Linked DNA regions of Styela clava. The protein of the gene in region 1 interacts with the protein of each later gene in a pairwise test. Links are inferred from orthologs where the notes say so. Each region holds a gene or a part of one and is shown in the gene's direction. Other genes may lie near its edges.

The links. The genes of interacting proteins can lie anywhere in the genome.
Region 2: the proteins of ralA-binding protein 1-like (region 1) and AP-2 complex subunit mu interact in a two-hybrid assay, tested with the Drosophila melanogaster proteins (2 studies listed by BioGRID). The link is inferred for Styela clava from reciprocal best matches to the Drosophila melanogaster genes Rlip and AP-2mu.

Annotation. Positions count from the first base shown.
Region 1 is NC_135264.1:15,712,311-15,716,551, reverse strand, and holds the start of ralA-binding protein 1-like, read left to right. Parts: upstream 1-1,378; 5' UTR 1,379-1,458; coding exon 1,459-2,446; intron 2,447-2,602; coding exon 2,603-2,762; intron 2,763-3,666; coding exon 3,667-3,920; intron 3,921-4,241. UniProt on the Drosophila melanogaster protein: Participates in receptor endocytosis during interphase, is also involved in mitotic processes when endocytosis is switched off.
Region 2 is NC_135263.1:5,966,167-5,970,407, forward strand, and holds the start of AP-2 complex subunit mu, read left to right. Parts: upstream 1-1,212; 5' UTR 1,213-1,313; coding exon 1,314-1,387; intron 1,388-1,997; coding exon 1,998-2,124; intron 2,125-2,697; coding exon 2,698-2,836; intron 2,837-3,740; coding exon 3,741-3,823; intron 3,824-4,137; coding exon 4,138-4,161; intron 4,162-4,241.

The DNA of each region.
Region 1 (4,241 bases):
TATTGCTTCTAACAACAATACCAGCTTAAAGCACTTATTCTATTATAATATTTTGAAATGAAGTTTACTGTATTGTTTTATCAAATTTATTTGCAAATACTGTACTTAGCGAAATGCACCAAGTTTATCACTGTGGTATATTGTGGTGACTTTTTCTTGGCCTGTAAATTGGGGATATTAATTTATTTAATATTAATGATATACTTTTTTTTTTGTTTAGTTTTCATTTTGCTTGTTTTACCTAGAAACAAAGCACTTATTCATTTATAATATTTTGAAAATAAGTTTAATGTATTGTATTGTCAAATGTTTGCAAATACTTAACGCAATGCAATGAGTTTTTACTGTGATATATTGTGGTGACTTTATGTCAGCCTGTGAATTCGGAATATTGAAACTGTTTAATGATATTACTTCTTCTTTGCTTAGTTTTCATTTTGCATATTTCACCTAGAAACAAAGCACTTATTCTGTATTGTAAGCACTTTACTGTATTGTATTGTCAAATGTTTGCAAATACTTAGCACAGTGCAACAAGTTTTTCACTGTATTATATTGTGGTGATTTTTTTCTTGGCTTGTGAATTAGGAATATTGGAAATATTCAATGATATTACTTCCTCTTTTCTTAGTTTTCATTTTGTCCATTCCATCTAGAAACAAAGTTGTTTTTATATTTTATTAAATTTTTACATATTGCCTGTCTATGCATTCAAATTTTTTTATGACTTATACTCAAAAATTATAGGTACTCCCGTAGTGTATGTACCAGTTTAGGCCACAATTTTATTCCGATTTTCCTTGTTTTAGCCCTATGACGAATTCGGGGACTGTCTATGTTAGCCAAGTGAATATACTCCCTGCCCATAGGTTTCAGTCCCTTTACACAACTTGATGTAAAGTAGGCGAACAAAATTAGTTACCTCAATGTTGGTACATACACATCTGCGCCAAATTCAAATTTATATCCACATAGTTAGAAAAGGAATATTATTTTTCACAATAAAGTTGTATATGTTTATTCTGAAAATCATGATAATATGTTGGAATAGTATTCCGATTGATTAAGAAGACTGGTTTGGTATATTTGTTTCTACTGGGAATGTTTGTACATTCCAAAATTTTAAATTTTTGTTCTCATTGTTTGTGGAAAGTTTTTTTTGCAAAACCAAGTTGGTATTGTTGGTTGGAAACCATGTTTCAATGTTAATGATTGGTACTCCCAAAGTTTGTGAACCAAGGTGGTGGACATCCGAACATAAGGTAGTATGTGTAGCATGTTAGGGTTAGGCCAAAATTTTATTCCAATTTTCCTATTACGAGTTCTGGGACTAGTCAATTGATAGTATTGTATTTGTACCTGAAATTATGTACAAATTATGAAATTGATAAATGTCCACCTTTCAATCTTTAGATTCGAAATTTTGTTAAACTAGATTAATTAAGTTGAGTTTACAAAATGACTGAATCCGGTGAGTCTGGTGAAGATACCAATCGTAAAAAGAAAAAAGAGAAAGGATATCATCATTTCTTACCAGATAATGAGACAGATGAAGAATCTCCATTTTCAAAAAGCTTTGGAACTCCAAAATCAGGACAATCTAGAAAACCAAAAACATCGAAAGGCCTCTTTAAAAAAGCTTCGTTTTCTAAAGGGAAACTTAGCAAAAAAGGGAAAACACCTGGGGACTCTTTGAACATTCCTTCTGATGTACCATCCTCGACGCCAAAATCAAAAGAACATCGCGATGCGAAGAAAAAGTCAGCGAGTTTACCTAGAGACATACAAATATCGTTTAAAGACAAAAAAGATCCGCAGAAAAAACATAAATCAAAAAAGCGAGTTTTATCGAACCCAAGCGATGAGATTCCTGAAAGCCTACCAGAAGAATCCGAGGAGATTGTCAACCCGGTATTCAAAAAAACTCTAGAAGAGGCAGTGCAGCGCACTTGCTACCACGATAACATCCTTTTACCTGCTGTGGTACGAGACTGCATAGACCATTTGGAGAACAAAGGTCTAACAGCGGAAGGAATATATCGGATATCTGGAGTAAAAGCAAAAGTCGATGAACTCATAAAAACCTACAACCAAGAAATTTCTCCGGATTTGAATCAATACGACCCATACACAGTTGCAAGTCTTTTAAAAAATTATCTACGAGAATTACCAGAGCGTGTCTTGACCGACCAATACTCCATGAAGTTTGAAGAGGCTGCTAGTGGTTCAGATAAAATCCGAGCGACCAAATCAATTCTTCAAAATCTCCCTGAATGTAACCAAGTTTTGATTTCGTGGTTAATCGTACATTTCAGTCACATTATTGATCACGAGAAGGAGAGCAAAATGACGATACAGAATATTTCGATCGTTTTAAGTCCGACGTTACACATCAGTCACAGAGTTTTGAATTTATTCTTTACTCAAGCGAAACAGATTTTTGCAGGTATGTTCTGCTCCACTGGGCATTTTTTACGAAACTTTCAATTTGATATTTATGAGACGTTTTCATATGATCACACCAGAAAAAGTACCATATATTCTTGCAATACCTAAGCGTTTCAAATACTTTCAAATTCAATTTGTCTTTTTCTCTTCACAGGGGTTGAAATCAAACCATTAATCAGACCAATGAGATGGCAAGACTGGGCCACTATGCCTCCATTACCGAAAGATCAAATAGAAGTTGTTCAAGAAATAAAACGTCAAGAATTTGTTTTAAATCGGCTTCACTCACAATTACAAGCTGGTTGTAAAGACAGGTAATATTTCTTTGTTTCCATTCTGAATACATTTTGTACATGCAGTACCGACTAGGTATGAAGTTTACCATACTCATAAAATTTTGAATTATGGCAGATCATAGAAAATGTCTCCTTGTAGATTATGGTAAGTATCACGTCCCATCCAGGATATGATAAATAGGGTAGGCAATCCATACTGTACAGACTTGGCTTGTTTGAAACGATGTAACTCTAAAATTTGCTGATAAAAAAGTCCCTAGAGAGTGCTCCAGAAGTGTATGTGTACCAATATGGGGGTAAATAATTTTGTTCGCTCATTTTACATCAAGTTGTGTGAAAGGACTGAAACCTATGGGAAGAGAGCTAACACAGACAGTCCTCGAACTCATAATAGAACTAAAACAAGGAAAATCGGAATAAAATTATGGCCAAACTCTAACCTGGCACACATTTTACGATGGACCGGCAATCCACATTGGATTTGTTTGAATCAATGTCCCGTGCTCTCTAAAATCTGCTGAGAAAAGATTTGCAAGGATACTTTACATACAGTGATCAAATAACACTATTCATTATTATAAACCTTATGTGTGTTAATTCTAATTGATTAATTGTATCTGATGTTCTTTATCATCTATTCCATTAGTCTCAATGTCTAACAAAAACAGAAGTTCTGAAACTAAACTTATTTTATATTAGATCCTTGAGTGTTGCTGCTTGATACCAAGCTTTGGTTTCTTGCAGCTTCCCATCCCCAGTTGAAATGTGTGCCTATCTTTTTTCTTCATATTTTGTTGAAAACTGACTTTTTTACTGGTTGAAAAAAATAACTTGACTTGGTCAAGCACTGGCTTATATGCTACAGATTTTGTATATGCTTTTTTACAGAAACCAATAAAATCATTTATTGTTTAAATTTCAGAAAAAAAGATGAACGTTTATGGGAAGTTCAGCGTATCCTTACACAATTAAAACGTCTGAATCGAAATTTCAAAAAAATGCAATCACAAACCAAACTAGACACGTTAACTATGGAGAGCATAGAACGCAAGCGTAATCAACTACGAAGCAGTCCTGGGAACCGTAGCACTAGAAGCATTCAAGATTCAGAAAGCGGACAGACTCAGGATAAAGAAACTGTAGCAGGGAATAATGAAAAGACCACAGAGGATGAAGGTATGGATCATAGAGAATATATTGCATTTTCTGCCTAATTAATTTTAGCCTAATTAATAATTGTATTGGGTTCTCATCTTAAAGTTTTAATTTGCTGTGGTTCTATGCTTTGTGTGAACTGAAGTTTTTTTTTGGTTGAGGCTACGCTATAATGGCCGATACATTGATGGTCAGTGGCGTGTCTACGTAAAACAGCGCCCATGGCAAAGTTTAAACGTGCGCCCCGATCGTTTAACGACATTTTTATCGACTGTCGTTGAAATTGAGACACTTGTACGTTATTATTCTAGTAAAAATACGAGTTTAAATTATTTCTAATTT
Region 2 (4,241 bases), on another chromosome or scaffold:
GTACAGCAGTTTTCTCATTTTTTTTTACTCATTGGTTACCCGACAGACGGTAGGCTACAGTACGGCCAGACTGGATTCCATGGCGGGTGCACGCCCGAGGGCGCTAGCGCTGCGCAAAAATGCACGCGAGCGAATTCAATTTTGCACGCCGAAAATTTGCAATTGTTCACCAATGTAAATCGGTTTAAATTGTTTTAAAATCAATAATCCAGTAATATAAAGATGCCAAAATATTATAACTCCACAATTGTCGACTAATACTAGCTTGCAAAATTTGGTCTGATCGAAAAATGCGAAGCAAAAAAGACCATATCGTGTTGAATGATAGGAATCCCGTGAGAACAGTTATGGACGAAAAGATCGCCCCCGCACCAACGCTGGCCAGGTACGGCTCTGATTTAGCGTATTTTTCATACAATAATTTTACACGAATGTACTGAACAGTACCGGTATTTAAAGTCGAACAAACACTCTCAAAATTAGTGACGGAGTATAAAAATACTGTTTGGGGTCAACGGTCAAACGGCCAATTTTGCTCTAATTTGCACTCCCAAAATTAATGACAAAGTATGTCCATTTTTCTCTGGTTCAACGTATTTTTTATTCAATAATTTTACGCGGATGTACTGAACAGTACCGGTATCCAATATCGCACAAACACTCTCAAAATTAGCGACAAACTGTAGAAAAAAATGTTTGGGGTTAAAGGTCAAACGTCCATTTTTGATCTGATTCAACGTAATTTTTATCCGATACCGAACGGTGATGTATTGAGAGGTATCTAATGTCAAAGTCAGTTGCACGCGGGCGCAGTTGTTTTGCACGCCGTGAGCTATAATTGCAGAGCCATTATATAATGGCTCTGATAATTGCACGCCAGGGATTCTTATTTGCACGCGGGAATTTCTGATTGCACGCCCGATTTCTCGTTCAAAAAGGCCATGAAATCCAGACTGGCAGTACGGTCCTGTATACAATTCGGTATCTCTGTCTGTGGTTATATCCAAATGCTGAAATGCAGAAATGGGTGTGAATTTGTAGTACCGTACTGCTGTACTGTGCGTTACTGAACTAAGCTTCAGTTTCTCTAATCGGAAAGTCTGACAGTGGTTATGTTCCAATATCTAGAAATGGGAAGCAATCACCTAATTCATGTATTCACCTAATTCATGTATTATATTCATTTAAATTTTTTCCGATTCTTTCATTGAAAGCTAGTGAACTATTTAAACTGCTATGTTCTTATAAAAGTAGGGAAACTGAATATTTCTGTCTGAAGCGTTTGAGGCCTCTGGCCTGGTCAAACCACCAAAATGATCGGTGGTCTTTTCCTTTACAATCACAAGGGAGAAGTTCTCATATCGAGGATATATCGTGATGATATCGGGTATGTTGTTCTTTATGACCATTGATTGCAGATTTTATAACTTTTGCACTTCTATATATATTATACTATGTGTATGTTTACAGAGTGTTATTAATAACAGCCTATTATGTCAAAGTTCTTATTGAAAAATTTGATTCAGAATTTGGATCTGGAGTCCCAGAGTCCAAATATTCTACAAGTAGGAGCGAGAGTCAATTTTTCTCTACTGGGAAACTTAGCCAAATTTTTTTTATCCTCGAGTCAAAAGTCAATTGTAAAAATTTCCAGACTCCATATCCCTGCTTACAATCGCATGAACGCTCCCAGTCCAGAAAAGCCAATAGCTATTTTTGAAGTAATCTGAATTTATAGACTCTCCCTAATTGTGAGGCGCGGTTACGGCAGCAAAATTTTACCTGCCATTGGTTTTCAATTTGCTGCCGCGGTAACGGCAGCTCGACATTGGTTTGTGGCAGCTAAAAAGTCAGTCGCCATAGGTTTGGCCGTAGCGGCCATGATATGGAAATACCGCCATGGTTTTGTGGCAGCTGCAGACGCCATGGAATACTTAAAACTGCACTTGCTAATTGTAGTATTTCATTGTTCTGACATACAATGTAATATTTTACAGGCGGAACGCGTGTGATGCTTTTCGTGTCAATGTTATTCATGCAAGACAGCAAGTGCGATCACCTGTTACCAATATAGCACGGACAAGTTTCTTTCATACAAAACGAGGAAATATATGGCTATGTGCTGTAAGAATTTATTGTAGAAATCACAGTATTTTTTTACTTCAACAAGGAATGCTTTACTGCTGTGTTTCAGGATTCATTTTTAGGGGAATGAAAATTATAAGACTGATCAATATTATGGTGTATCTATATCAAAAATCAATAACTATGATTTTTAAGCTAACCCATTTTTTGGAGACTTTCCTAAATGGATTTATTAAAATATTGGAAAACATAATATATGTTACAATATAGTCAACCAAGAGCAATTTAACCAGATATATAAATTTGATTCTATTTCGATACTTTCCTGATTCTCTCAAATACCTTGTGGAATTACTTATAGTACCTCTAGTAAACAATTTCGCACTGATAAATGGTATAAAGACTGTTCAAAATAGTCCAAAAATAACACATTTTTATATAGCTTTAGTAACATTTGAGGTAGGCTATATGTTATTTGGTGGGAAATGGATTTGCTTTTGTTAGCTATGACCCTAATGCTGATTTTCTTTACGATTTTTCCAAAAATTCTATCGCGTTTAGAAACCAAGCTCTCTAGAAAGTATACAATTAAACAACGCTTTCATTTTTCAGGTAACAAAGCAAAATGTCAACGCTGTTCTTGTTTTTGAATTTCTTCTTAAAATGATCGATGTTATGCAAAGTTATTTTGGAAAAATCAATGAAGAAAATATCAAAAACAATTTTGTTTTGATATACGAACTTCTAGATGGTTAGTGTACATAGACCATAGCTTCTCTTTTATTTATCAACTTAGAAGATCCTGAGTTTGAACATCCCAGTATTTTATCAGCTTATCATGCCCAATACCTCATTCTCAACCCTCCGACCGTTTGGTAGATAGACCTCAGCTCGAACCTTAGATCTCAAGTGTGCAGCGTTCAGTAGAGAGAGAGGGAGAGAGATTTGTTTTTCGTCGATCAAAATAAAATACCAGTCATCGTAATAATAAAAATAATACCAAGTGATAAATTAGTTTGGTATGTATAGACAGGAATCAATGTCAACTCCCCACTTCACACTATTATGTTTAAGATTCACAATTTCAGATGACAAATTATTAAGGTAGAACATTCCAAAGTTTGAAATTATATTCACAAAATGGGAGAATAAAATTGGGGAGTGGAATGCTAGAGTAAATCATTCTTATTTGTATATGTGGAATGGGGTTCCAAAGTTGAAAGAGATTTCAAAGGGTTTCCAAAGTAGTTTCTAATTTCATAGCTGCGAGTCTAGTTACGACCCATGAGTTATCTGTGCCATCAAGTCGAGTCCTGGAGTCAAGATGATTGCTGAGTTAATTCTCACAGGCGGTCAGCTGATGACAAGTTTGAATTTTTTCATTTAGATGACTCGACTTTGAGTCTTTGATAAATATTCAATCAATCCAACTCCAGTTGAGTATTTGATGAAGGTTGACTCAATGCAATGCCAACTTACTGAAGCCAATACCAATGTTAAGATTTGAATTTAACAGCACTTGAATCGTAAAAAGCCTATTTCTAACAATCAAGCTAATGGAGATGCATATTAGATTAGCTTTAAAATGTTTCACATTTACAGTATTTGAAATTGCAAATGGATTTTTTTTTATCAATGAATTTTACCTATTACAGAGGTTTTGGACTTCGGATATCCGCAGAAGACTGATACTGGAATATTAAAGACATTTATTACGCAACAAGGAATCAAAACTCAGGTTATTATGTTATTTATGATCTTTAATAACATTTTGTAAAAAGCTTTAAGTTATTTTCATTTTAAATAAAGAACTAAGATGATTTTTAAAATCTCTAATTCAGTTGAAATGAATGTGTCATTGATGCAATTTGTATTCTGAAGGGATTAATAATTTTCACTGACACTTGGTATTTCTAATTTAAAATTTGTTCAAATTTTATTAAGAAAAGTTTTAATTTTCGAAATTGATTGAATTTGAACTTTATTGCTGTAATTATGTGTGATGACTAACTCTTGTTTCTTTTGACATTGTGCAAATCTTAATAAAATAAGGTTGTAACTGCATTGTCTGGAAAGGTAATTTAATAATTCTAATGTGATGTCCAGATGTCTGTTCGTATTTTTTACCGTATTGTTGTTTATCTGCTTGTCCAGAG